Linked DNA regions of Cricetulus griseus. The protein of the gene in region 6 interacts with the protein of the main gene of each other region in a pairwise test. Links are inferred from orthologs where the notes say so. Each region holds a gene or a part of one and is shown on either strand. Other genes may lie near its edges. The genes, in order: Hsbp1, Psmb1, Deup1, Mfap1, Dctn2, Kifc3 and Fam161a.

Evidence for each region.
Region 1: the proteins of Kifc3 (region 6) and Hsbp1 interact in binary tests that used the Homo sapiens proteins (3 or more experiments, as listed by UniProt). The two-hybrid records come from large-scale screens. The link is inferred for Cricetulus griseus from reciprocal best matches to the Homo sapiens genes KIFC3 and HSBP1.
Region 2: the proteins of Kifc3 (region 6) and Psmb1 interact in binary tests that used the Homo sapiens proteins (3 or more experiments, as listed by UniProt). The two-hybrid records come from large-scale screens. The link is inferred for Cricetulus griseus from reciprocal best matches to the Homo sapiens genes KIFC3 and PSMB1.
Region 3: the proteins of Kifc3 (region 6) and Deup1 interact in binary tests that used the Homo sapiens proteins (3 or more experiments, as listed by UniProt). The two-hybrid records come from large-scale screens. The link is inferred for Cricetulus griseus from reciprocal best matches to the Homo sapiens genes KIFC3 and DEUP1.
Region 4: the proteins of Kifc3 (region 6) and Mfap1 interact in binary tests that used the Homo sapiens proteins (3 or more experiments, as listed by UniProt). The two-hybrid records come from large-scale screens. The link is inferred for Cricetulus griseus from reciprocal best matches to the Homo sapiens genes KIFC3 and MFAP1.
Region 5: the proteins of Kifc3 (region 6) and Dctn2 interact in binary tests that used the Homo sapiens proteins (3 or more experiments, as listed by UniProt). The two-hybrid records come from large-scale screens. The link is inferred for Cricetulus griseus from reciprocal best matches to the Homo sapiens genes KIFC3 and DCTN2.
Region 7: the proteins of Kifc3 (region 6) and Fam161a interact in binary tests that used the Homo sapiens proteins (3 or more experiments, as listed by UniProt). The link is inferred for Cricetulus griseus from reciprocal best matches to the Homo sapiens genes KIFC3 and FAM161A.

The regions. Positions count from the first base shown.
Region 1 is NC_048596.1:195,967,628-195,971,829, reverse strand, and holds the start of Hsbp1 (heat shock factor-binding protein 1), read right to left. Parts: upstream 2,801-4,202; 5' UTR 2,686-2,800; coding exon 2,641-2,685; intron 2,354-2,640; coding exon 2,287-2,353; intron 1,649-2,286; coding exon 1,530-1,648; 3' UTR 1,528-1,529; intron 1-1,527. UniProt on the Homo sapiens protein: Negative regulator of the heat shock response. Negatively affects HSF1 DNA-binding activity. May have a role in the suppression of the activation of the stress response during the aging process.
Region 2 is NC_048595.1:294,438,057-294,442,131, forward strand, and holds the start of Psmb1 (proteasome subunit beta type-1), read right to left. Parts: upstream 2,801-4,075; 5' UTR 2,750-2,800; coding exon 2,640-2,749; intron 1-2,639. UniProt on the Homo sapiens protein: Non-catalytic component of the 20S core proteasome complex involved in the proteolytic degradation of most intracellular proteins. This complex plays numerous essential roles within the cell by associating with different regulatory particles.
Region 3 is NC_048597.1:129,100,711-129,104,690, reverse strand, and holds the start of Deup1 (deuterosome assembly protein 1), read left to right. Parts: upstream 1-1,180; 5' UTR 1,181-1,207; coding exon 1,208-1,345; intron 1,346-2,059; exon of another isoform or gene 2,060-2,257; intron 2,258-2,784; coding exon 2,785-2,880; intron 2,881-3,856; exon of another isoform or gene 3,857-3,970; intron 3,971-3,980. UniProt on the Homo sapiens protein: Key structural component of the deuterosome, a structure that promotes de novo centriole amplification in multiciliated cells.
Region 4 is NC_048599.1:56,936,784-56,941,066, reverse strand, and holds the start of Mfap1 (microfibrillar-associated protein 1), read right to left. Parts: upstream 2,801-4,283; coding exon 2,722-2,800; intron 1,422-2,721; coding exon 1,202-1,421; intron 1-1,201. UniProt on the Homo sapiens protein: Involved in pre-mRNA splicing as a component of the spliceosome.
Region 5 is NW_023276806.1:130,449,077-130,452,217, forward strand, and holds part of Dctn2 (dynactin subunit 2), read right to left. Parts: intron 2,485-3,141; coding exon 2,324-2,484; intron 2,171-2,323; coding exon 2,023-2,170; intron 1,747-2,022; coding exon 1,681-1,746; intron 1,536-1,680; coding exon 1,497-1,535; intron 1,144-1,496; coding exon 1,066-1,143; intron 978-1,065; coding exon 906-977; intron 727-905; coding exon 624-726; intron 530-623; coding exon 438-529; intron 1-437. UniProt on the Homo sapiens protein: Part of the dynactin complex that activates the molecular motor dynein for ultra-processive transport along microtubules. In the dynactin soulder domain, binds the ACTR1A filament and acts as a molecular ruler to determine the length.
Region 6 is NC_048596.1:171,316,985-171,320,484, forward strand, and holds part of Kifc3 (kinesin-like protein KIFC3), read right to left. Parts: intron 3,209-3,500; coding exon 3,065-3,208; intron 2,974-3,064; coding exon 2,734-2,973; intron 2,346-2,733; coding exon 2,172-2,345; intron 1,715-2,171; coding exon 1,567-1,714; intron 1,491-1,566; coding exon 1,360-1,490; intron 505-1,359; coding exon 393-504; intron 1-392. UniProt on the Homo sapiens protein: Minus-end microtubule-dependent motor protein. Involved in apically targeted transport. Required for zonula adherens maintenance.
Region 7 is NW_023276807.1:83,748,174-83,751,673, forward strand, and holds part of Fam161a (protein FAM161A), read right to left. Parts: intron 1,032-3,500; exon of another isoform or gene 915-1,031; intron 837-914; coding exon 607-836; intron 1-606. UniProt on the Homo sapiens protein: Involved in ciliogenesis.

The DNA.
Region 1 (4,202 bases), about 25 Mb from region 6:
AGGGTGTTGGATCCTCTGGAGGTGGAATTGCAGACAGTGGTGAGTGAGGTCTCATGTGACTGCTGGGAACTGAACTTGGGTCTTCCACAGGGCATACGTTGCTTTTAACACCTGAGCCATCTCTCCAGACCCTTATTTGGACATCTTTATTCAAAATTCTTTGAATCCACTTCCTATTTTCATTCCTGTCTTTGTGTTTCCCTGTCAGTTGAACATCTTCAATCATACAATCTTTCAGTTCTTGACTCATGGGGGTTTTCTGTCACAACATAGCACAATCCCCTAGAGCTTCCAAGATCCACTCGACACTTTGCAGCTCTTCTCTAAATAGGACTGAAGACGACACAGCACATACCAAGCACTGATGCGCATCTCATAGTTAAACAACCCAATGTATTGTTTATGTATCTTGACCCTCCCAACCCCCATCTAGTCTCCTGGAATTCAGAACAACCTATTTCAGTCACTGAAAAGCTGGTTCAAGGCCAAGCCCAGAAATAACCTTTAATCCCAGAATCTAGGAGGCAGAGGCAGAAGCAGGTGGGTCTCTATGAACCTGAGGCCATCCTGGTCTATACAGTAAGTTCCAGGCCAGGCAGCCAGGGTTTCATAGCATGTCAAAATAAAAAAAATAAAAACTGAGGGCCCTTCCTCCACAAACACAAGTGAAGCTACAAAGAAATTCACTACATTAAATGGTTTTGTGCTTGTCATCTGATATCTGAAATGATTCAGTGGAAATTTAACTCAGTCTAGAGTAAAGGAGTCGAGTCCATGATAAAAGTCACAAACGTCTCTAGAATTTATAATAGATATTTATGTAAGTGACCTGAATTCTCTGCTGTTTGTAAAAGAAAACAATGAAATAATCTTCCAGTGGCCAGGGTAGGGCACCAAAACACATGCCCAGAAATGACATCACCTGGTGGTCTTCAGTTGCCAGCTCACCAGCCAGAGACATGTCCAAGTTCCAGGTGTGTCCTATGCAGGGCCCAGGATATGAGTGAGGACCGTCATAACTTACAATTAAAACATCAAAGGACTATAGATGGCTCAGCGGTTAAGAGCACTTTTTCTTCTCGGAAAGGACCTAGGTTTGATTCCGAGTACCCGCAAGGTGGCAGGTCTTGTCTGTAACTCCAGTCCCAAGGGATATGATGCTTTCTTTTGGTCTCCCATAGCATTAGGTTTGCATGAGGTGAATATGCAAGCAAAACACTCATATATAAATATTTAAATGACTTCTGTCTTTTATCAGCAATTTCACTCTTCTTTAAGTGTGAACATTATTATGTGTATAGCCTGGACATGCCCAGCAGTGATTCAGTTTTAAGTAATGAAACTTGGAAATGTAAATTCTACCTAAGGAATTAGTTTGGCATGAGCAGTTTCAAAACATGGACTTTCTAGGTGGGGTGCAGAGATACTGGCTGGGAAAAGACACAGGTGAAATCTATCAACGACATCAACCTTACACTGATGGCCACTTTGTGTGCTTTGCGTCAGCAAACTGGTGCCCTCCCTTACCTTCAACTTTTCTGTGCAGTAGCAATCTTGTTTTCCCCTTCCAGTTCTTCCACACCAGCCTGGGTCATGAGGTCAGCGATATTTTTCTCCAGATCGTCAATGCGACTGCTCATGTCATCGAGTGGCACAGTTAAGGAGCCCACACACCAATACCCCACTCTGTCCCCATCCTCCAGGCCCCTGAAACCTGGCTTAAGCAGCAGCTGCTTTCCCTTTCTTCTGGCTACAGTGACCGCCTGGCGGTCTGAGAGGTACAGGGGACCCAGGTAAGTTACTTTCCTAAACCCCGGTTTCCTCATTCATTAATCCCAGAGGACTCTATCCCATGGGTAAAGAGAGGAAGAGTGCTCAGTGAGCACTCCCAGCCGACATAGCCTAGCTCCTTTACTGGTGTTCTGGAGGACCCCCAACAGGGAACTTGGGTAGCTTGGCCACGTCTCTGGCTCTTGGCGCAGTCCTCAGGAACACAGTATAGCCAAGATCAGTGAAGAAATTTCCAAGTGCGGCTGGAGAGATAGCTCAGGGTTATGAGCATTTGAGGCTCTTGCAGAGGGCCTGAGTGTGGTTCCCAGTACCCACACCCGGCAGCTCACAACCACCTGTAACTCCAGCTACAGGGGATCCAATGCCTTTAGTCTCTTCACTCACTCACGCGCACCCATAATATACATAATTAAAAATAATGACTACCTGAAGTCGGTTTGCAAACCTCCCGCTTATCCCCACCATTAAGAAGCTGCCTCCGAAGCAAAAGGATATTCCTTCCAATGATCTGATCCGACATGATCTGAAACTTGTCTTGCATCTGCTGCAAGAGCGTCTCCACCTACGAGAAACCAGAACAAGTCCGCCGATTCCAGCTTATTCCGAGACCATTTTCCTGGGAGGAAGGGGAGGCCAGGGGGTAGGGGAGTCCCGGCAGGTGGGCGAGACCTTTAGCGAGGCCCTGCCAGGTCGGGTTTGGTATTCCCGCGGGTCAGGTCGTGAGGGTCCGTGCCGGGGCCGCAGGAGGGCGAGCCCCGCAGGTGCGCGGGCCGAGGCCGCTGGCCACACCCCACGCCAGGGCCGAGAGCGGCCGCGGAGTGTCGGAACCCAGGTGAGCCTGACGCTTACCACCAAGGTGATGTCCTGCATGGTCTTGGGGTCCGTCTCGGCCATCTCCCCGGTGCCCAGCTTGGCGGCGATGTCTCGGAACCGTCACCTACACTTCGGTTTCTTGGCGCAGACGCCCCCCAAGCCACCAGTTCTCGCGACAACACAGTCACGGGACCGCGAGGCATTGTGGGCGTTGTAGTTCCCGTCACGTACCGGAAGGACCTGGGAAACTTCAGAGCGTCCTGAGGACAGGCTCCGCCTCCCCGGTTTTAGCTCTGCCTCCATCCCCGCCCCAGCTCTACCCTGAATGCGGCAGGGAGCGGAAGCGGAGAGAAAACCGGAAGTGGGCAAAGGTTAACGGGGATTAACGTTTTTTTTTTTTTTTTTCCCTGTGGATGTAGTCAGGCCTTGCGGGTGAAGGCGCTTGCCACCAAATCTGATTCTGGAGTTCGATCTTGCATGTTGGAAGAAGAGCCCCAGCTTTCACAAATTGACCTCTGCCCAGCACACATGTCCTGTGACATACACATATACATATAATTTACAAAATAAATAAATGTAATTTTAAAAAATCCCTTAGAGTTGGTAAGAGTGCACTAACTGGATGTCTGCTCTTCACCAAGACCTATTCTTGAAGACATGGGCCAACAAGTATGTGAGGCCCGATATCCTACTTACTTGGGAGGGATCCTGAGTTCAAGGTGTGACTGAGAAAACTTACTGAGACTCTGTCTCAGAAACAAAACAAAACAAAGCAAAGACCTAACAAGCAGAAAGAGGGTGGAATGGAATGTATTCAGTGGCAAAACACTTGCCTAGCACAAAGAGACCAGCACTGTAGAAACAAAACAAAACAAGAAAGCTCAGGCTACCACCCCCATCCTGGATTGGCACATAACACAGTATACCCAGTTTGCCAGGTATTACTGTTGAAGGGACCGCCCCCCCCCCCCCCATTTGGGCAGCCATGACAGTAATATGTGCTCGCTATGACCTTGTCTTAGTCACTAGAGGTCAGACGCCTGCCTTGTGACAAGGAACCAATCAGAAGTTAGCTGGTGGTGCTGTGCTTTACGACCCTGGGTGTACTTTACGGGCAAGCACACAGCAATGACGTACAAAGCATAGCAACCATCCTGGGAGGGCCTATGGGCCATAACAACCAGTTGGCCAATCAACACAGGGCAAGCCCTCCAAGCCTGGAGGGCACACCAATCCTGAGCCTGTGCGTACCCCTAGACACTCCCCTTACGCTGCCTTACAAGATCTCTCGGGAGCCCCTAGGAGCTGTCTTTGCTAGCCATCCGCCATGGCGGGTGGGTGAAAGACTGGAGCTAACACGGGGTTAGCTCGTTAAAACAATAAAGCCTCATGCAGTTTGCAGCAAGCTCTCGAATCCGCCTGGTGATTGGGGTGATCGTGGTCGTGGCCTGGGACCCCGGATACCTGAGTTTTCCGGGGGTCTAACACTGTGATGGAAACTAACCCGGCTTCTTTCAACCATATGGCTGCCTAATGCTAAGTGGTGCAGGTCTCCATTTGTGTACAAGAGGGGGCAGTGTCAGGGGTGAACCGGGACG
Region 2 (4,075 bases), on a different chromosome or scaffold from region 6:
GATAAAATGAGCTGACAACTATAAAGTCCACCTGACACTTGACTGCTGCATGACTGGTCTAGTAAGTGAACAACCATCACTGTGGCATATGGTGGGGCTGTACTGTATGACTAAGCACCTGAGCACTGTTACTTAAGGGAGAGGCCTATTCATGCCACTTAATAGCTGTAAGACTTTGGATAAATTCTTCATGATGGTAATGACAGTACCTGTTGTGTTACATAATTCACATTAAAGTACCTACAATAGTTAACCTTCTAGGAAATAAACACCCAGGAAACATTACCCAGTATTTTACAGAAACCAGTTCTGTACTAAAGCAGAGAGGATGACATTCCACAAACCATGAACAGCAACAGAAGGTAAAAAGACATTACAAGCAACTTAATTGAGGTGATCCTTTGTGTAACTAGAAACATACACACTGTGATGAACTGTTGTAGAAGATCCCAAGTGCCAAGCTAAATTTTACAATTTTAGCAAGGAGTCCCAAAGCTTATACAATCAAGAATGAGAAAAGTTCCATTTGAAACAGGTTTTCAGACAATTCTGGCAATAATACAGTATATGAAATGGGATAGCAATACTGTTCCAGTCAGAGTGATGAGATAGGAAGCAGGATGAAGAGGGAGAAAAAGGAAAACACATCGGCAACGTATGCAACTGAGTTTTTATAACTACCTAAATATGTTTTGTGGGAAAAACAGCTAAAACATCCCAAGATAGGCAGAGTGATGACATAATCACAAGGGGCACTTTTTAAGGAGCAGAAGTGACTGAAAGGGAATAACCACCCTGCTTGTTTTTATACTAACATGAGTTACGGTGAAAACAGAAAATGCACTTTAGAAATGTTTTCCCAAAGAAGTCAAAATGTAGGGGCCTTTGAGAAATAAGGTTACAGAAATGGATTTTGGAATTATGTTCCCAGGGATTAGGCATGTAAAGGTCTTCAGTAACAAAATCTGGAAGCTACAAAGAGAAATTAACACCATCTTTTGAACCAGAGGCTGCTTGTCCGGCTAGTTGCAAAAATTCTAAAAGGAAGGGGGGCGGGGTAATAGAACTGTAAGTAACTGTTTGGAAAGTAACAGATGAAGAGGAACTACAGGAGGTTAAAAGGTAAATAGTGAGTATTGCACTCAGAACACTATTAACAAGCCTTACAATGTAAGTACTTAGTGTTCACATGCAGAGTTAAGACCAACACTGGAAAACGAAAGTTAAGAATTTAAAACTGGTTCTAATTCGAACAAGCTCTTAGACAAAGCTGTTTAAATGCCAAGAGCCAAGGACTAACACTATGAAATATTCCCTTAACTGCTTGCAGCCAGCTTACAAAAATGTAACCACCTTGAGTCTCTTTCAACATATTATTTCAAGAAACTGAAAGGAACCCACATAGCACACACTCACATTTGTTCTTCAAAAGCCACAACCAAGGCTAAAATTAGTATTTCACTGCCTATATAGTGTATTTTCAGCATCCATAAAGACATAATTAATCTTTTTTCTTTTCTTTTTTTCTTGAAACAGGTTTCTCCTTATAGCCCTGGAACTGGCTCTGCAGACCAGACTGGCCTTTGCCTCCCGAGTGCTGGGATTATCCCAACTGTTTTTCGTTTCTGTCTCCTCCTCTTTCTTCTTCTTCGTTTTGTTTTGTTTTTCGAGACAGGGTTTCTCTGTGTAGCCCTGGCTGTCCTGGAACTCACTCTGTAGACCAGGCTAGCTTCGACTCACAGATATCCATACCTGCCTCTGCCTCTGGGATTAAAGGCATGCGCCACCACCACTGCCTGAATGTTTTTCTTAACAAGCCACATTTTTTTGATAATTGGTTGTTTATAGGTATAAAATTGATGAAAACTACCTATATTGCCAAAGGTCCTAAATTCGAGGTGAAGACATCCCTTCGAACAAAGCGGATAATTTAAAGGCGCAAGCAATTTCAGAGTAAGAACACGAACACGAACGAACACACACACACACACACACACACACACACACACACACAGAGAGCGGGGGGGGGCAACCGTCTAAGGCCGGGGACACAGCTCAGCAGAACACGACACACACACACACACAGGCAACCGTCTAAGGCCGGGGACACAGCTCAGCAGAACACGAACACACACACACACACACACACACACACACACACACACACACACACGCAACCGTCTAAGGCCGGGGACACAGCTCAGCAGAACACGCGCGCACACACACACACACACACTCACACATAGTCAACCGTCTAAGGCCGGGGACACAGCTCAGCAGAACCTGCCCAGCAGGCCAAGTCGCAGAGTAGAACAAAACAACCCCTATTTCATCCCTGAACTTAAACCAAACGAGCATTAAGAGAAAAAAAAAACAAAACAGTGATCTACAAAGCCACCAGGACAAATCAGTGCTGAGGACAGGGCCCCCCTCGCCCGTTGGCTGTGGGGACGTGTTCAAGCCCCAAGAGACGACAGTGTTAGGAGCAGAGGGCTAGGGTGGGCGCCTGCCCTGAGGAATGCGGGAAGCATGCGATCCCGAAGGCGTCCGTGCAGGGCTCCGGGAGCCGGGCTGCGGAGCGCCCCGACAGGCTGCATCCCCACAGCCGCCCGCCCGCCCCAGGTGAGCCCAGCTTTTACCCTCCGTTGAAGGCATACGGCGAGAAACGCATCTGCACAGGGACGGCGGAGCCGTGAGGCCCCATGCCCAGCTCCCGCTCGGGGTTCCCGAAAGCAGCCGTGGAGAGCATCACACCGCGCTCCTGCTGTCTCACAGCAAAATGGCCGCCGGGACAGGTCCACTTCCGACCCGACCCGCCCCTCCCACCGGGCTCCTCTAGCCCGCACTCGTCGTTGCTCTTGGAGGTCTGTGCCTATGCCCCGCTACATATCCAGCTTGGGGTCCACCAATTAATTCCAGGAGACCTGTTTTCCAACCCCAAGAAAACATTCGATTCACTCATGGCCATACCAAAAACAAACAAAAAAACAAAAACTAGTTGCAGAGCAATGACAGCTCCGATTGTCACATTGGTGAAGTGGCATTTGAGGAGTTGCAGCTCCTGCTATGTTCAAGTCCTAGTGGTCAAGATGCATGGTCAGCTGTGTGGTATACGCAGCCACGCGATCCAGGAAGCGATACTAGGTTTCGCCAGCCAGAGCCTGATGGATCGTATTAACTTGACAGAATCTAGAATCACCTAGTAAAACCTCGCGGGCATGCTTATGCAGGTGATTTCAGGACAGTGTAGCTGAGAAGGGAAAACCCACCCTAAATATAGGTGGCACCATCCCATTGCCTGGCTTTCTGAACAAAAAGGAGGGGGAAAAAAAGAAAGAAAGCAAACTAACATTCATCTCCTTAGACTTCCGGTCTGCGGATGCAGTGTGACTCCCCCCTTCTCCAGACGTCAGGCTTCCCCATGGTGGACTGTACCCCTCAAGCCGTATGCCAAAAGGAACCTCCTTCTCTTAAGTTGCCTCTTGTCAGGCCTTTGTTAAGTTTTCTTAATGTCTTAAGGTTCACTATTCTTCCAAGAGAGAATGTTTCATTTAGAAGAAAATAGGTAACCAATACTATTGTACTTATTAGAATCCATGCAGAGGTCAACACCCTAGGCACATAACACACACAGGTAATATCCATCTCTCACACACACCCCTAACCTAAAGGAGCTTATCACCTCGTTGATAGTGCTAAATCCAAGGGAAAGGGAATAAGCAGAACTTCCTTTCTGCCTAGGTGAACCATATCAAGAAGAAATCAAGATACGCTGGAATTCAATCAAACGTTAAGAAGCAACCTAAGAGACAACTGCTGTTTTCTTGGAACAGCCCAGAAGTCAGCTGTTCGTCGCTGAGCTAAAATGTAAATGAATTTGTGACTCCACCTCCCCTGTGTCGTTGTCGTTCTTCAGATACCAGTTAACTTTCACTGAGGGTATGCTATTCGTGTCATTGAAATCACAAATTTCTAGGAGGCAGCTGCTACTACCATTCAGCTTTATGGCGTTAAGTGGAGGATGTAGGGAGCTTGCCGAGGGTAACACTGTAAGTGCAAAATCCTATTCGACTGG
Region 3 (3,980 bases), on a different chromosome or scaffold from region 6:
AGTGCGTTATTGTGGTCAGTACCACAGATTTTAAATCAGTTCTTGTAGAAGGACCTGTTTTCACTTCATGGTACAAAGACTCCACAGACGGGAAGCTAAGGCCTATGTCTGACACTTCTACAGATAAGCTATGTGACTGTGGACCTGACAGACGTCCCAATGTGTCTCTGTCACACCTCCTAGAGTTATGACAGACATCTCTGTGAGTCTATTTTCACTTGTTGGATCCCTAAGCACTTAGCATTTGTTCAAATTACCATATCCACAATAATTAGCATATTCTAAAAAAATGGTGTTTGTTAGATTTGGTTTGGTTTCAGTTTTGTTTTGGGGGGTTGTGAGTGAGTGTGTGTGTGTGTGTGTGTGTGTGTGTGTATGTGTGTGTGTGTATGTGTGTGTGTGTGTGTGTTTAGCTTTTTTGTTTTGTTTGTTTTGAGTTTTGTTTTGTTTTGTTTTTTGATAAGTGTCTGAAACTCACTATATAGTCTAATTGGCTGCCTGAACAATCCTTTTGACTCTGCTTCTTGAGTCCTGGGATTATAGGAGGGTAACAATATTTTTTGTATAAGTACAACTGTAATGTGCTAGCTAGTCTTATGTCAGTGTAACACAAGCTAGAGTCATCTGAAAGGAGAGAACCTAGATTGAGAAATATCTCCATAAAATCTGACTGTAGGACATTTCCTTAATTAATGATGAATAGGGAGGGCCCATCCCATTGAGGATGGGGCTATCCCTGGGCTGGTGGTCCTGTGTTCTACAAGAAAGCCGACTGAGCAAGCCATGAAAAGCAAGCCGGTAAGCAGTGTCCCTTCGTGGCCACTGCATCAGCTCCTGCCTCCAGGATCCTGCCCTGCTTGAGTTCCTGTCCTGACTTCCTTTAGTGATGGACTACAGTGTGGAAGTATAAGCCAAATAAACCCTTTCCTCCCCAGCTTGCTTTTTTAGTCATGGTGTTTCATCTCAGCTATAGAAATCCTGACTGAGACAGGTAGTATTGTCTCTGGAATTACCTTTTTTTTACTTAAGGGATTAGCCTGAAGCTTTGAGGTTTGTTTCTATTTAAACAATTGAGCCATTTGAGGAAGCAGCAAAGCTACCCAGGATGATGCAGGGATCCTTCCTGCTCCATCTTCCTCTTGTGAAGCTATCTCACTTTTCTACATTCACCAGAGCTTCTCCTTGTGAAGCAGAGCTTCAGGAACTGATGGAACAAATTGACATCATGGTGAGCAACAAGAAGTTGGACTGGGAAAGAAAGATGCGGGCTTTAGAGACACGATTAGACCTTCGTGATCAAGAGTTGGCCAATGCACAGACTTGCTTGGATCAGAAAGGCCAGGAGGTACTGAGTACACATGTCAGCAAAGTGTTCACGCACCAAACTCATTTGTCACTTACAATTCTGTCAGCAAACTTGGTGTTAAATGTATGCTATCAAATAGATGCAGGGATAAATCAGATATTTACTAATGGAGACACTCACTACACCAATGCTGACAATAAATGTAACAGACATTTAAGGTACATGTGAAGTAAGAGTGTTTGGAAACAAAAGTAAAAATGCTTTGGCTCCTACAGAAGCCCTGCCATGGAGACCAAAGCTGTCTTTGTTCAGCAGAGCCCAGGAGTGTTTGCTGCTTCTGATCTGCTGGAAAATGTTTTGTGAACAAGCATGTCAAGAGTTAATTGCCAAAGGAGAGTGCATTTGATGAAAGTGTGTGTGTGTGTGTGTGTGTGTGTGTGTGTGTGTGTGTGTGTGTGTGCTTGTGTTTGTGTGAGTGTTCTCATGAATGCATAGGTGTGTGGGTGTGTGTGCTCATGTGTGTGCAAAGGTATGGGGGTATGGGTGGGTTTGTTCTCCTGTGGGTGTGTGCAGGTATGTGTGTGTGTGTTCTTGTGTGTGCCTGTGTGTGTGTGGGGGGGGGTGCTGGTGTGTACCTGTAGTGCCCACTTAGAATGGCTTCCTTCCACTCCTGTAACTGCTCACTCCTGAGCTGGTGCACATAGGAGATTGTGAAAGACCTTGGGGGTTTCAGAAAAACATCTGCAGACCTACATGTCTGGACTCTTTTGGGAGTCAGGAATCATACGTCATCGCAGAAGTTTTCATCAGCCACTTTCCAGCTCTTTCTGTGGACTTATGGATGGTTTGAGTTTTGGCAAAGCTGAGGGCGTTGGTGTTCTGCAGGTGGGTGTAGCTGTGGTTTCCCTTGGCTCGAAAGGCAGGTCCAATGGTCCTGGTATATGCAAGGACCTACAGTGACACAGATATATAAGTAGGTGTCTCATCCGCATTTAAACAGAGTAATGCAAACCCTTAATAAGTGCTCTTAAACATTTTTATTTCCTCATTAATATGTTAGTTTTTATAAAATGCAACAATTATCCATTGGCCATGAAACTGGTAAGGAATGGAACCTGACCAAAAGAAAATCTTTGAGTTACCTTAGTAGAAGTTCTACATGAACAGCAATGGCACAGCCTGCCAAACAGATCATACAGAGTAAAGTCTAAATCTTAATTTAAAATGCAACAGTGACAAGGATCTCTTGCTAAATATACTTCCATGCTATCCTAATACACAGCCAGTGGACCGGGCTAGAGATGTTTGCTTTCTGTGAATTCAGTTATTAGTAGTTATTTTAAGAACTGCAGGACAAATATTTACTCTTGGCTCAGTGCAGCAGTTTAACTTGGATTGCACTTCTTCTTTGCACATTTTCTGATTTTTTAAGGTAAAATTCAGGAAAAAAGCTAATTTAAAGTTTATTTTTAATGCAGGTGGGGTTACTTCGACAGAAGTTGGACAGTCTAGAAAAATGCAATTTAATGATGACGCAGAACTACGAAGGACAGCTACAAGCCCTGAAAGCTCAAGTAAGAGAACCTGTTAAATGTAACATTACATGTTTTGACCTATGATATGTTAATTTTTTAAAAAAATGCTTTGCATATAAGCAAATGTTCTTGTATCTTAATTGCATGTTCATGTCTGGCTGCCATTGTCTTCTGTGTCCTGATTGTCTCTCCTACAAGGCTGTCAACTCAAATACCATCTGCATGGCCTTCCCTATGACAGGGCACTAGACAAATAACTTTCTGTCTCTCCAGAGGCTATTTTTTATGATTATTATTAGTTATGAGAACAAAAAACGAAATTCTCTTCTATGGTTATTTCTGGGGTTTCCACTGCAGCCTAAAAATATGGATGGTTGATACTATGAAGTAAGTAGCAGAAAGTGAGTGAGTGAGAAATTACGTAGCTGAAAGAACAGAGCTGGCCTTGCTGCTGGTGGCTGTTTATAAATGGCATGCCTCTGCCTATGCTGTGAGAGGGTACCAATTTCTTTGTCACCCATCACTGCAGCTCCCCACGAGGCTTGCCCCAAAGTCTTGTCTCCTAGCAAAAAAAGTCTCATAGGGCAGGAGTCACCTCAACATCCCAGGCCCAGCAGCTGCTTGAGTCCTTAACCTAGAAAAGGAATCAGTAGGGTGTGTGGTGTGATTGTGAACTCTGACCACCAACGTTTCTTGGAAAGCAAAGAGTTCATATGTAATAACCTGGTTAAGGGAGCCTGGAGTATCCGATGCTCCTCCTTAAGTGCTATAAAGGGGATACAGCCATTAAAAATGGAGTAGGAAATATTTGAACCCATTACTTAACTGTTATTACAGAATGTTTCCGACTAGCTGTCTATATTTTGCTTGCAATTCAGGTATGTGCCATGAGAAGGCAGCTTGTACTATGAATCTGCACACAGTTTTCTGAGACCAGAAGCATCTAAAACTTAGGGCAATCAATCTTGTTTTTTTTTTCCCTCATACAAATATAGCAACACAAATCTGAATTCACCTGACAGCCCAGTGTGGGTATGTCTGAAGCTGCTGGACAGGTAGACTGGCTGTGTGTTTCTCTGCCCTCTTCAGCACAGCTGAAAGCCCTGGACATTGTAAGACAGCATGTGTACCTGGTAGAA
Region 4 (4,283 bases), on a different chromosome or scaffold from region 6:
CCTACATGACAAACAATTTTACATACTGAGACCCCCTGCCTGTCTCCCCAAATTGAAACACTATGAACTGGGAAAGTTCAGGATAGCTTGCCTGCTCTGATGTCTAACTGGGAGTTTTTCCAACATGAGTTTACATAACATAACTTGTCTTTTTTTTTTTTTTTTTGAGACAGGGTTTCTCTGTGTAGCTTTGGAACCTGTCCTGGAACCCACTCTGTACACCAGGCTGGCCTTGAACTCAAAAAGATCCACTTGCTTCTGCCTCCCGGGTGCATGGGATTAAAGGTGAGCCATTACTGCCAGGCCCTACTTGGCATTTTTACTTACTAGTCTTTAGAACAAGTACAAGAGCACGGTGTGGTGGCTCACACCTGTACTGTCAGTGCTGAGAGGACTGAGACAGGAGGATCATTGCCAAGTTTCAGGTCATTCGGGGCTACAATACCACAAGAAACAACTATATGTCCAGGTGGTGGCACACCTTTAATTCCAGCATTTGGGAGGCAGAAGCAGGCAAATCTCTTGAGTTTGATGCCAGCCTGGTCTACATAGTTAGTTCTAGGATGGTCAGGAATATATAGGAAAAACCCTGTTTTGAAAACAAACAAACAAAAAAACCCAACCCCCACAACCAAAAAACCAAAACAAAAACCCAAACCCTATATGAATAAAATCAGTTTTTCAAATATTTACTATAAAAATATTTTTATAGTGAAAAGACTCCCTGCAACAGACCAATCAATGCTGTTTTCTCTTTATCAGCTAATTAGAGTCATTAGGCCTATGGAGGTATTTTCTTTTCCCCCAAGACAGGGTTTCTCTGTGGCTTTGGATGCTGTCCTGGTACTAGCTCTTGTAGACCAGACTGGTTTCAAACTCAGAGACCCACCTGCCTCTGCCTCCCGAGTGCTGGGACCAAAGGTGTGCACCACCATCGACTAGTGGAGATGTTTTCTGAAGCTGCTACTCCTTGGCTATATAACTTTGGTCATGCCACTTCCCTAACCCTCTGCTGCCTTAGTTCCCCACCTGTGATATAGGTATAGTAGTACCAATTTTGTAAGATGTTCTACAGATTGTAAGAATTAGCAAATGTAACTTATTTGGGATAGTATATATATGGCACACAGTAAGCACAAATATTATCAACTATCATCTCCATGACAGGTCTCAGTTCAGACAAATGTAACTCTTGTCATACCTCTCTTCCACATCTTCACTAATGCGATTCTGTAAACGCCGAAGTCGGGGGTCACTGGATGAATCTTCCTCCTGTTCCTCAGGCTCTGCTTCTTGTTCCTTAGCTTTCTTAATGAATTGAAATTCTTCATCCTCTTCATCTGAGGACTCCATAGGGGCATAATCTGGCCTTTTCCCAGATACATAACGTTTTACTTTCACTTTTTCCATTGAAATCTCACCTGGACAAGAAAGATAATTTGTTTCAGTAACCTCTTTCCTAATTCCCTGCAATTCTTGGCCTTTGCAGATAGAACCCTAAGTTCTTGATGGAGCAGAGTCTAGAGAGGATATGGCAGTTATTATCCAAGTACATATTCATCTATCAGTGGGTTCCTATAAAGACTATGGCATGGGAAGGCATTTTATAAATACCAAAACTAAGACATCAAGAGGTACCTCGGGGACAACAAAGTAGAAGACTGTGAACAATGAAACTGCAGACCCTCTCTCCCTGCCCCCCACCTACAAATTGAGGCTTTGTCATCTCAACCCTTAGTGGTGATTTGAATGAGAACATGACCCATGATCAAATGTTTGAACACTTGGTTCCCAGCTCCTCTCTCTGAGATGCTATGATAGCCTTTATAACATAATTTAATATTCTAATTTTATCAATTTTTCTAACCCTTATGCTGAACCAGATGTTCTCTAAAACACAAACAAGTTGGAGCTGAAGAGATGGCTCAGCAGCTAAGAGTACCTGCTGCTCATGCAGAGGACTGGATTCATATTCCAGCACCTACACGGCGCAGTCTGTAACAGTCTGATACTCCAGTTCCAGAGGATCTCATACTCTCTTCTGGCCTCTCTGGGTACTGAACCCACATGGTGGCTGGCATACACACACAAAAGCAGAACATCCATACACATGTAATAAGAATACAGAGAAACCTTGTCTCGACCCCCCCCCCCAAAAAAAAAGTGGAAATCCTTATAACCACCTGGGAAAAATCAAAGATAGCTTGGATATAACATACACACAAAGATCTCCAGCTCACTTATATTTTTACTTTTGTTACTGTTTCGGTTGTGAGTCTAGCCTTTAACGGCTGAGCCATCTCTGTGGCTCTATTTTTTATTATTTTTAACGATGCTGTGTGTGGATACGTGCAGGTACCAGCAGAGGCCAGAGGTTTTGGGGTTACAAGTGGTTGTTGAGTCGCCTGATGTGGGTGCTGGAAACTGAACTCGGGTCCTCTGGGAAAGCAGTACGTGCCCTTAACCGCCGAGCCACCACCTCTCCAGCCTCCTTTACTTTTTACTTTGAGAGGTGATCTCAGCAGGTCGATCAGATAGAGAGACGCAAGTGTATTCCGCATCCCTCAATCTCTAGGGTACATGACAGGGTGCGGATTCAGGTGGGACGGAGTCGGTGGGGCTGAAACGGCCAATCTAAGGCAGGTTTGAGGGATACTGAATCAGTAAGAGGTAAGATCAGACAGGAGGAGGGAGGGGAGGGGAGGGGAGGGGAGGCAGTACCTTTCTCATTGCGAACTGGGACGGCCCCAGCCGTAGACTGAATGGGCGGCTGCTTCATGAGTGCGCTTGGGACCGACATGGTGACGGCCGCGGTGGAGACTCCCAAAATTTGATTAAATCCCAACAACGAAGTCCAAGGAACACAACACCTCCTCCCACCTAGCGCCGCCGCCAGACGCTGCTGCGCGACTGACAGAAACGACTTCCGGCAGAGCTAGAGGAACCGGAAATATGCCGGCAGAGGATTGTGGGATTGCGGAGGGACGCTGAGCGCGGGCTGCTTAAAGGGCCAGGCTGAAATTTTACGCGTCTTCGTAGGTAAGTTTCCCGCCTTTAATCTCTGAAGATTTGGAAGCTCCTTTTGGCGGGCAGTTGCTTCTTTGAGGTTTTGGTGAGGTTCAGGAGGGTTCGCCTCGCCCTTAAAGGTTTCCTTTGTTATGTTTTGGAGAAACGGAGCAGATAGTGAGGGGCTGCTTGTGCATCTTGTTGAAACCCCAGAAGTGTGGAGTCTGAGCCGGATATGCGGGTCACGTTTGTAATCCTAGCATCTGGTAGGCTGAAACAGGATAGCGGCGTTTGGAGGCCAGTCTGGGCATCAGAATGAGACCCTGCTTTTAAAAAAAAAAAAAATCCCTAAGGGCCATCTGTTGGTTGGAGCACACTCCGGAGGCTGAAGCAGGCGGATCTCCGAGAGATTGAAGCTAGTCTGGTCTACAAAGACAACATTCTGGGAGTTCAATATTATAGATGATCTTGAAGGTGCTGTTAATATAATTGTCAAATTATTTCACTTGTTTTCTGCAATTGGGCTCTTGCTGGTTGAAGACTGAAAACTGGCAAACTTTAAATTAGTGAGTGCTTACAATCAACGAAACAAGGACGAAGCCTAAGCACTAGAAAAGCCTTAAAAAAGGCAAATGTAGATGGAAATCTTTATTCTTCTTTATTTAATCTTGAGACTGTGTTTTGCTGTGTTGCCCAGGCAGGTGTTTTGTTTTTTTGTATGTTTTTTCACCCTCGATTTCTGAGTTGCTAGGATTAAACACACAGGTGTGTCACTTACAGAAATTTTATATTATGAAACCGGGTGGTGGTGGCTCACGCGTTTTTGTTTTTTTTTTGTTTTTGGTCACCCCTGGCCATCTATAGGTTTTCTTTAGTTCAAAACAGGTGCATTTTTAAAAAATTTTATTTATTTATTATGTATACAACATTCTGCTTCCATGTGTATCTGCACACCAGAAGAGGGCACCAGATCTCATAAAGGATGGTTGTGAGCCACCATGTGGTTGTTGGGAATTGAACTCAGGACCTCTGGAAGAGCAGTCAGTGCTTTTAACCTCTGAGCCATCCATCTCTCCAGCCCCGCCAAGTGCAATTTAAACCAGCATTATCAGTTATTAGAAACAAGCAACACATAATGCATCTTTTTTTTTTCTTTATTCTCCTTATTTTGAGACAGGGGTTCACGTAGCTCCGGCCTCCCTTGAACTGCCTGTATAGCTGATGACAACTTTGAATTCCTGAACTACCTGCCTCTACATTCCAAATTAGGGATGACA
Region 5 (3,141 bases), on a different chromosome or scaffold from region 6:
CCACTAGAAACCAAAAGATGAATAAAGAAGGTGAAATTAAAGCAGGATGTGCTCAGGCCTAATTCCAGCACCTGGGAGTCTAAAGCAGCAAGGGTTGTTTAGTTGTGATTTTGAGGCTAGCTAGGGGTAGATAGCAAGACCTGTCTCAAACAGTCAAGCCTGGTAGGCAGCACATTCCTGTAATCCCAGCACTTGGGAGGAAATGAGGATTGTCACAAATTTGGGGCCAGCCTGGTCTACAAAAAGTTTCAAGCCAGCCAGAATGAGACATCCCCACCTTCTGCCAAAACAAAGTCCAAGGCTAGAGAGAACTAGATTGGGCACAAAGATCCTATGACTATGAAAACAGAATGGACATTCAAAGGCTTAAAACAGAGCCCTCTGAGGCAGGGCTGGAGAACCTCTGAGGTCTTCGATGGAACAAAAGATTGGCACACCTGGGTCAGCAGAGTGGCGTTGTCCTTCAGGGAACTGGCGATCATCTGCTGAGTGGTGTCCAAGTGTGTCAGGAGCTGACCAAACTGCATAGCTATAAGAGAAGCGAAGAGGGGCACGGCTGAGAGCAGAGGCCACTGCTGAGTGAGGGACACAAAGGACCCCATGCCTAGGGAGCAGCCTCACACCTTGCTCATGCAGCTGCTTGATGGTGACTAGTCTCTGTACCAGCTCGGGGAGGGCGGAGGCAATGGGACTCCAGCGCTGTGTGGTTTCATAAAGCTGGTGCACCTGGAAGAACATGACAAGGCCCAGAAAGGATGCTGAGATCATGGTCTGACCAGGAATAGAAATACTGCCTTGACTTTCTCTTATACTGATAAGACCCGAGTCTGTAGGCTGATGTTAGCACTCAGAGGAGGCCCTTGGGGGGAGCAGGGTTTGCATAGAGCTGGGAGGGTCTCTCTGACCTTGCTCTGTGTGTCTGCATCCTCCACAGAAGCTTTGTGCTTGGCAATCTCATTCACCTTTCCCAGGACACTCTGAAAGCACAGGTGTTAAGGGTGAGAAGACACCTAGGGCTTCCAAAGTCCCAGCTACTTGGGACCCAGGTGGTACTCCATTCCATACCTGCAGCCGAGCCTCTACTTGGTCCAGAACTGCAAGGTCCAGGGCGTTCACCTTGGCCTGCAACAGTTCTACAGTTTCCTAGAGAGTGGGGGAAGGTTTTGCACAAGTGTCACCAGGAAAAGAATCAGACTAGGAAAAGGTCTTAAATATTTCACGGGATCCCGGCGTTGGTGGTGCACGCCTTTAATCCCAGCCCTCAGGAGGCAGAGGCAGGTGGATCTCTGTGAGTTCGAGGCCAGCCTGGTCTCCAGATCGAGTGCCAGGATAGGCTCCAAAGCTACACAGAGAAACCCTGACTCGAAAAACCAAAAAAAAAAAAAAAAAAATTCATGGGAGCTAATTAATATAGCACTATAAACCCCAAAGTACTTCTAAGTAATTCATTCCCATCGCCCCTATAATCCAAACACTCCAGCTTCTTGCACACTCACCATAAGGCAGGCTCCCTGTAGACCTGCAGAAAGGGGATTCTGATGGGAAACAGAGGACAGAAATCAGTCTTCATACCTCACAGAATTAACTACCTTCTTCCATCACTCCTGGTTCCAGCTGGCACCTCCTAGCTGACCCCTCCCAGATTCTGGGGAGCACTGGACCTGAGGGGCAGCCCCTGACCTGAGCATCCTGGTCACAGCGGACAGTGGCCTCCAGCTCTGTCAGGCGCTTTTCAAGTTCTGCAACCTATGGAGAAGGAGGAGGTGAGGTTCCCAACCCCCACCCTCTGCTTTCCTGCTCTGAGGGACTCCTTTCTTGAAACACATGCCTAGGCACAGTTTTAAATTTAAATTTGAATTAGATGTACCACTTGGGAGGTACTGAGTTCAAGTTAGCCTAGGCTATGTGAGACCCTGCCTCAAAAAACAGATATGCAAGGGAGACAGGAGAGTGCAACTTCAAGGGGAATCAAAGGCATCCCCAGAACTATCCCCAGGCCTGATCCTCCAAAGGGATACTTACTTTGGCAGCTTGCAAAAACTTGTCCTGCTCAGGCCGAGAATGTAGTTCGTAAGTGACAAGGCTGCTGTCTGGAGGGGTCCCACCTGTGGCCCTTCCCCCTAAAGTCCCTTTGCTGTTCTTTGTTGCTTCCAGCTGCAGCAGTAAGCGCCTGGGTCAGGAGAACATTAACAGCATGACCTGGGGCTGAGGACTACTTCTGTCTCCTTTGCCTCCTAACTCCTCCCGCCTCCTGCTGTCTGTGTCTGGCTGAGGTCCTCCACAGTTCCCCTCAGCAATGATTCTCCACAAGGAAGGCACTCACTTAGCCAAAGCTCCGTCTGGGTCAGTGAGGTTGATGGCAGCATCTGGTCCCAGCAACTTCTCCAGGTGGGAAGCCACCAGCTGCTGCTTCAGAGCTACCAGCTGTTTGGCCAGCACCACAGGGGTCAGCTTCTCCTCGATGGCTGACTCCTTCACAGTTGTCTGACAGGAAAAGAGGTGGGATAGTGAGGGTGGCAGAAATGAAGCAGGAAAAAATGGCTATCCCCTCAAAGAGAGCTACAGCCAGGTGGTTTTATTTATTTGTTTATTTGCTTGTTTGTTTATTTATATGTATGTATGGGTGTTGCGACTGTATGTGTGTCCCTGTACCATGTTCATGCAGTGACCATGGGGCTAGAAGGGGGCATCAGGTCCCCTGGGACTGGAGTTACACCAGTTTGTGAGGACCCATGTGGGTGCTGGGAATTGAACCTGCGTCCTCTGGAGGAGCAGCCAGTGATCTTCCCTACCCTATCCCCCCTCCCAGGTGCCCCAGGAAGCTGAGCTTGAGTCTGGCACCTTAGACCACTTGGCTATCCTGATGCAATCAGTACTCTTAATCCTTCCAGCCCCCTACCATACCCCCAGTGTGGAGTTTACAACCGAAGACTGAAAAAATTATTTTTAAATTTTATGCACATTGGTGTTTTGTCTGAATGTATGTCTATGTGAGGGTGTCCGATCCTCTAGAACTCCAGGTGCAGTCAGTTATCAGCTGCCATGTGGGTGCTGGGATTGAACTCAGGACCTCTGGAAGAGCAGCCAGTGCTCTTAACCTCTGAGTCGTCTCTTCTGCCCCCAGCAGACTGAATTGAACAG
Region 6 (3,500 bases):
GTAGGGTTCTCTGGGTGACTGATATTCACTGTTTCTTCTCCCAGCCAACATGAGCATGTCGAGGGCTGTGGTCTGGGGACACAGCTGTCTCCCCAGTGTCTACCACAACATCTGGCATGGAGCAGGTACTCCCTCCCCTAAATCTCAAGGGAGATATCAGTGAAGCCCCAACCTGAAACAAGTGCCACTACTTCACAGCGACCTACCACATGCCTCAGACCTGGGAGGAGCCCACCATGGGCAAGGAGCTTTAAAATAATCAAGTTCAAATCCAAGGTGGACCATTTACTAGGTGTGTGTCTTCAAGTTTCCCGACTTTTCTGGGCCCCTGAATCTTCAGCAGCAGCGAGTACAGCTCTAAGAGCAACTGCCATGCAGCCAAGGATACTCACCCTTCAGCCTCACCAGCTCATTGTGGCATTTCTTACGCAGCTGCAGTTCCCGGCGGTACTTGCGCAGCAGCTCCTGGTTGTTGCTATTAACCTCCTCGATGGCCTGGCCAATCTGGGGAGCAGGCACATTGCCATCAGAGACCTGATTCTGTTAGCTTCCCTTCACTGGCCACCTGGTCTGATGCGTTACCCTTACCTGCTCAGGCTGAGTACCCAACACAAACTATCACAGCAGACCAACCTTTCCCAATAATCCCCGAGGAAGTACAGCCGGCACCCCCATCTTATAGATAAGAAAAACCGAGCTCTAGGCAAAGACTAAACAAAGACCTGAAACTTGAGTACCTGGCAACAGTGAGATTCAGCTACTCTCACATCTAACCGTTCCAAGGAGCTGGGACCTTAATGAGAATGATGATGGGTTTGATTCTTCACCACATCCAGGTATTACTGACGTAATTATTTAAAGAGCCAATTTTCTTTTCCCAGAATATACCTGTCTCAGCAGAGCTGACATATGAACTTGAAAAACCAATGGCTATAAAAGGCTCAGCCACATGGGAGACACTTAAGAGACACTAGCTATTCTCATACTGTATGAGGATGGCTTAAAAAACAAAGTGAGCTCCTAGGCATGAAGCTTGGCGGTAGAGCGTTTGCCTACCAGGTGTGAAGGCCTGGGCTCAATCCTTAGCATAGCAATAAAGAATAAACACAGTGAGCCAAGGTGTGGTGGCAGATGCCAGAAATTACAACACTCAGAAGGCCGAGGCAGGAAAATATGGAGTCAAGGTCAGTCTGGGCTAGGTAACAAGACCCAGACAAATACAATAGATATAAGACAGATACAATAGATATAAGGATACTGTAGCATGGATAAGAGCTCATGAGAGGAATGCCTTTTGGGAACAAGGCAAGAAACTGTTGCATAGGGGCTCTGAATAAAGGTGACTGGCATCTTGCTCACCTCAGCTTTGACACTCCTGAGAGCCTCCTGCAGCAGCAGGGGGAAGCTCCGCACCTGCCGCTTGAGCCCGTTGTAGTCATTGGTGAGGGTCCTCAGTGCAGGCTGCAGCGTTAGCAGGTTGGTCCTGACACCTATGAGGCCAAGGTGTTAGACATCTGGGCTTCGAGGCAGAGGCATGGGGATGGGCAGAGCCGGCTTCAGGCTCACCTGCCAGGTTCTCGTGCACTGCCTTCATCTCCACCTGGGCCCGTGCGAAGGCCTCCTCAATGGCCCGGTTCTTATCCTCCTCCAGGGACTGCATCTCCTCCAGCATCTGCCCATGTGCCCGCTCCAGCTCTGCCTCATACATGGCAATCTGACGGCCAGGCCAGGAAAGGGTTCAGGGGTGTGGGGTGGTAAGAAAGGGAAGGGCAAGTGTGGGGAGGAAGCCCCCCCCCTCTCCTGGGAGTGGACATATGCCTGGCTGGTGCAGAGGGATGGAATGGCCTGCTTTCTTTCCCCTACAGGGCTGTGAGTCTGTACAGGCATCACCTCCCTGTACTAGTCTAGTCCCATACCCTCAAGGCACATGTGCTCAGGAGATTGGAAAGAGTGTAACATGCACAGCAGCAGGACCTACTGAGCAGGCCTGTGGGCTGCCAGGGACAGCCCCTCATGATCTTTTCCCTGTGTCCCCACGGTGAAGGGGCTTCTGTGACCGGCTCACGTTATAGATGAGGAAACAGAGCTTGACTATATGACCGGGGGAAAGGAGAAACTGGATCCCAAGTCTGTGTGTGGAGTCCCCACTACAGCCCTCTCGGCCTGCACACCTGAGCCCGCAGCTGGACTGTCAGCTGATGGGAGTTCTGCAGCTGCTGCTCCATCTCTTTAAGCACCTGCCGCTGCATGGCCACTTGCTCCTGCAGGTGCTGGTTTCGGGTCTGGGACTCGCTGAGGGCCTGCTTGGTCTTGGATGACTCCACCTCCACTGTCTTGATGACATACTGCCAAGAGAGGGAAGGACAGAGCAGAGCAAGGCTGATTGTCCCAACAGCAGCTGCTGGTGAAACAGGAGCTGCTCCCAGGAGCTGAAAGGTTTTGGTTCTGCAGAATGCTGCAGGGCCTGCCAGCATCTTCCTAAGGGGAGCCAGTGGGAAGCCCGACTGATCCCAGGCTGGGCACAAACTAACAAGAAGAACACTTGTGCCTAGCAGACAGAGAACACCCTGCAGAGCCTGCCCTGGCAGCGAAGGAGGGAGGAAAGAACAAACTAAAGCACAAGGCTGGCAGGCACCCCTCGGCCATTCACACCAGGCTGTTCACTGGGACAAGGCCCTTTTAGGGGCAAGCCCGGCCCTGGGCCCAAGATTCCTTCAAGGCAGTACAACTCACCTTAACCGGTGGGGACTGGGCCCTCAGACTGGCGATGGTCTCATGGCTGTCACGCAGGCGCCGGCTGAGCCGTTCCTCCTCCTGTGCTTTCTCAGCCAAGCAGTCCTTGAGCCGCAGCTCTACCTCGGCTAGCCGGTCGGTCTTCTGCTGCACCTCCAGGTTCAATTCCGACAGCATGCCTTTGTTCTCAGCCACTTCCAACTGCAGCTGGGACAGCTTGTCACGGAGCTGGGTGCTTTCCTGCAGGCAGCCAAGGCAGCCAGGATAGGAATAGGGTCATGTCTAGCAGCTGAGCCCACTGACCCAGGTTGAAGGGGGTCTGTCAGCTTACCTGGCTGTGCTCACAGCCCTCACAGGGCACCACCGGCTGTGCCCGAAGCTCCTGCAGCTCCACCTCACAGCGCCTCAGCTCCTGCCTCAGCTGCTCATTCTCTACCATCACCCTGTCCCTGTGTTTCTCCACGTCGGTGCCTCCCTGTGGAGAGCCGGGGCCCAGAGGAGGCATGAGCAAGGGCACACCAGAAGAGGTGAGACTAAGCTATGGAGAACAGATGGGGAAGAGAGAATGGGAGTGGGGAGAAGAGGTAGGCAGGGAATGGACGAGTCCAGGGGCTCAGGAGGAAGAGAAAGACAGAAAAGGAGGCCAGCAAGGCAAGGCAGGCAGGCTCCCTGCTGCTCCTGCTCTGCTCAGTCTATTTTCCTGAGTGTGAAAGTAACACAAAGTCACATTAATGCACGGAGTTCACACTCCTATTCTACGTCAGCAA
Region 7 (3,500 bases), on a different chromosome or scaffold from region 6:
GCAGGAGAGATGGCTCAGCAGTTAAGAGCACTGGCTGCTCTTCTAGAGGACCTGGGTTCAATTCCCAGCACCCACATGACAGCTCACAAGTCTCCATGGGCACCAGGCACACATGTGGTGCAGACAAACATGCAGGAAAAACACATTAAATTACAATAAAAACAAACAAGCAAACAGATGGCCACTAAATGACCCTCAAAGCAAGAGGTAACTTAATAAACTGATAAGCCATTAAACATTTTGAATAAAATCCCACCTCTATATATCATTAATACTAGGAAGGACCTAGTCTGTCTATCTCCTGTGTGCCAGGCCTGCCTGAGATCTGACACCCAAAGACATGACACTCCAGCGTCTCAGAAACAGGAGGTCATGCTCAGTTTTTGGTGGGAGGCAGGAAAGCATTTTCAGCAAGAGTGTCATCCTTAAGTTCAATTTTGTTTCCAAACCATGCTGGAGATCAAACCCCAAATGTATGTTAGACAGGCTCTCACTGTTGCTGAGGACCTGATATTTAGAAGCAAATACTCCAGGATATTTTGTTTCATACTTAGTTTAAATATTTATCTTAGGTCAGTCCTCAGATGACACCGAGCACAAACTTACCTAGAGGAGACACTAGAATAATCTTCCCTGGTGATCACTGGCCAGACGTCTTTTATATTTAGCTTGTCCTGGTACATTTTCTCTAATTTTGCCATGGTTTCTGCATGGGCGGCCTTTAGCTCTCTTAGTTTCCTGAAATACTCTTCATTAGAGTGGTAAACATCAGAAAAGTCCACAATGTCCTGGATTGTCACATCTTCTTTTTCCCTGGGAAAGCTGTTACCACTAGCCTGATGGGAGGAGAAATCCATTATATGCTATTTTAAATGAAATAAACAATTGATGCTGATCCAAACGCTGGTTCTTACATATGTCCCACTCTGTAGCCCAGGCAGGCTGCCTCTGCCTTCTGCTCCCTGGGATTAAAGGTGTGTTCCACCAAGCCTGGCTTCAATCCATTTTATAATGGTTAGGTACCTAGAAAACTGACAGTAAATATTCAAGTTGGGACACTTAACACTGCAGAAGACAGAATGGGACACTGCTACGCAGATTTCAACCAGAAGCCTCTTCTGAGTTGTGCATCTTTGCTGACAAGAGAGAAGCTACTCTCCTGTACCTACAGCCAGCTCTTGAGGGGTCCCTGCCTCGGGGCTCCAAGGGTGTGCAGTGGAGAGAGGGCAGGCCCAGGGACAGTTCTCAGTTGCTCTTCCAAGGACCCAGGCTGGGATGACCTTGGAGGGGAGAAGGACACGGGGCAAAGAGAGTTTCAGAAGGGTCACTGCTGTGGGCAGCAAGCAAAGTAACACCTGTGTATGGCAGACAGTTTGGGCAGGAGAAGTGAGCGTGGAGAAATACTGCATGTACACTTGCATGCAGGAGACACTCCACATACAAGTCAGGACTGGAGGGTTCTGACTGGACTTTCTCTCATCCCTTTTACCCATCGTTCTGTTCTTTTTAAAGAGATAAAAACCTCACTTTCTAGAGCTACAGAAGCAGCTTAGTTGGTCAAGTGCTTGCCATGCAAGCATAAGAAGCCATAAAAAAGCCAGGCGTGGTGACACAAGTTTGTGACCCCAGCATTGGGGAGATGAGACAGGACCTGAAGCTTCATCAGTGATCTCTAGATTCCAGTGAGAAACCCTTCCTCAAATAATGATATGATTTCATAAAATAAGTCTGTTGAGCCTTTCCAATGGGAAAATTCAGAAGAGTCCATTACAAATCATACCTTGGGCTGCAGAAGGGCCTTGGCTGTAAGGTGTCTGCTGAGCATGTACCAGACTGTGGGGTTATTCCCAACACAACGAGAAAGGAGGGGATGGATGGATGGATGGATGGATGGATGGATGGATGGATGGACAGAGGGCCATATTTTTAAGATTATGTGCATACCTGTGTGCATGGGTGAGTACAGGTGCCCATGGAGCTGGGGGTTCAATCCCCTGAAGCTGGAGTTACAAGTGGTTGTGAGTTGCCTGGTGTGGGTGCAGGGAACCAAATCCCAGTCCCTACAAGAGCACCAAGTGCTTTAACCACTGAGCCATCTATCTAGCCTCAGATTTTTGTTGCTATTTTTTTTAAAGTTTTTGAGAGGCTGGTGTTGTCCCACTTGGAATAAATTCTAGAAAACAAATGAAATGTAGAAACTTGTTATCAACAACTCATAGGGCCAAAGACCTATTTAATGTATGTCACATGAGTTGCTTAGGAGAATTTGTTGCTTTTGCAGAGGACCCAGGTTCAGGTCCCAGGTTCATAAACGTGGTGACTCACAATTCTTAACTCCCGTTCTAGGGATATAGCGCCCTCTTCTGGCTTCCACAGGCACTGCGCACACATGGTAATCACTTAGACCTGCACAGACAACTGCCTCACGTAAATAAAAATTGATGGGGGCGGGGGCTAGAGAGATGGCTCAGAGGTTAAGAGCGCCAGCTGCTCTTCCAGAGGTCCTGAGTTCAATTCCCAGCAACCACATGGTGGCTCACAACCATCCATTATGAGATCTGGTACCCTCTTCTGGTGTGCAGATACACATGAAAGCAGAATGTTGTATACAAAATAAATAAATAAATAAATAAATAGATAAATAAATAAATAAAAATCTTAAAAAAATGATGGGGGCAGGGGGGATGAGCAGAGTTCCCCCAAGGCCCTGCATTTGCCCCCTTTCTCAATGCTCGCACTCCAGAAGTCTGCACAGCATACTCGCCCACTCTCCACTCAAACACCACCTCCAGAGAGGTTTCGTGGACTATCCCCTTTGGAATGGCCACTCTCCCAACTCACTGAGTCCTCTTCTCCACTTCATTTCTCCAGAAGTGTTTACTCACACCATCTGCCCCGTCCTGGCTGATCTGTATACCCGGGCCTGCTCCAGCTGGAGAAGGGTTTGTACAAAGGCAAGAGTTTATTTGCAGGGTTCTTTCTTGTTCTCAGCTTCTAGGAAGGAGCCTGACCAAGAACAGATGTCCAGTACATATTTGTGGAAAGAAAGAATGTACAGTTAAAGAATATGTAAGCTTCCACCACAGGAAAACAGCAGTGTTTCCTTTCGCAAGACTGAGCTGTGTCTGGAAGGGCAGGTTGCTGAAGGACCACCTGATCTTACTGAATACAAAGGAAAAGGCCCATGATCCTAACATAAATGAAAACCTAAAACTCAGGCTGTAAAACTGCCAGTGTGTTATAAACATATGCCCTCTAGGAGAACAGTGGGCAGTTTTCAGACAGAACACCCGTGGCTCATTCTCTCCCCCACAGACTCTCTAACAGGTCCTATGTCATCTACACTGAAGACAGCAGGGGACTGTGGCCTGGAAGAACTGTGTGAAAGGGAGACACAGCAGGGTGGAAGCAGAGACAGGCCTGAGGAGCTGCACACACACACTGAGGTCTGCATGTGGCTACTCACTGTTAATGCAAGCAAAACTCAAATAAACTCTCCT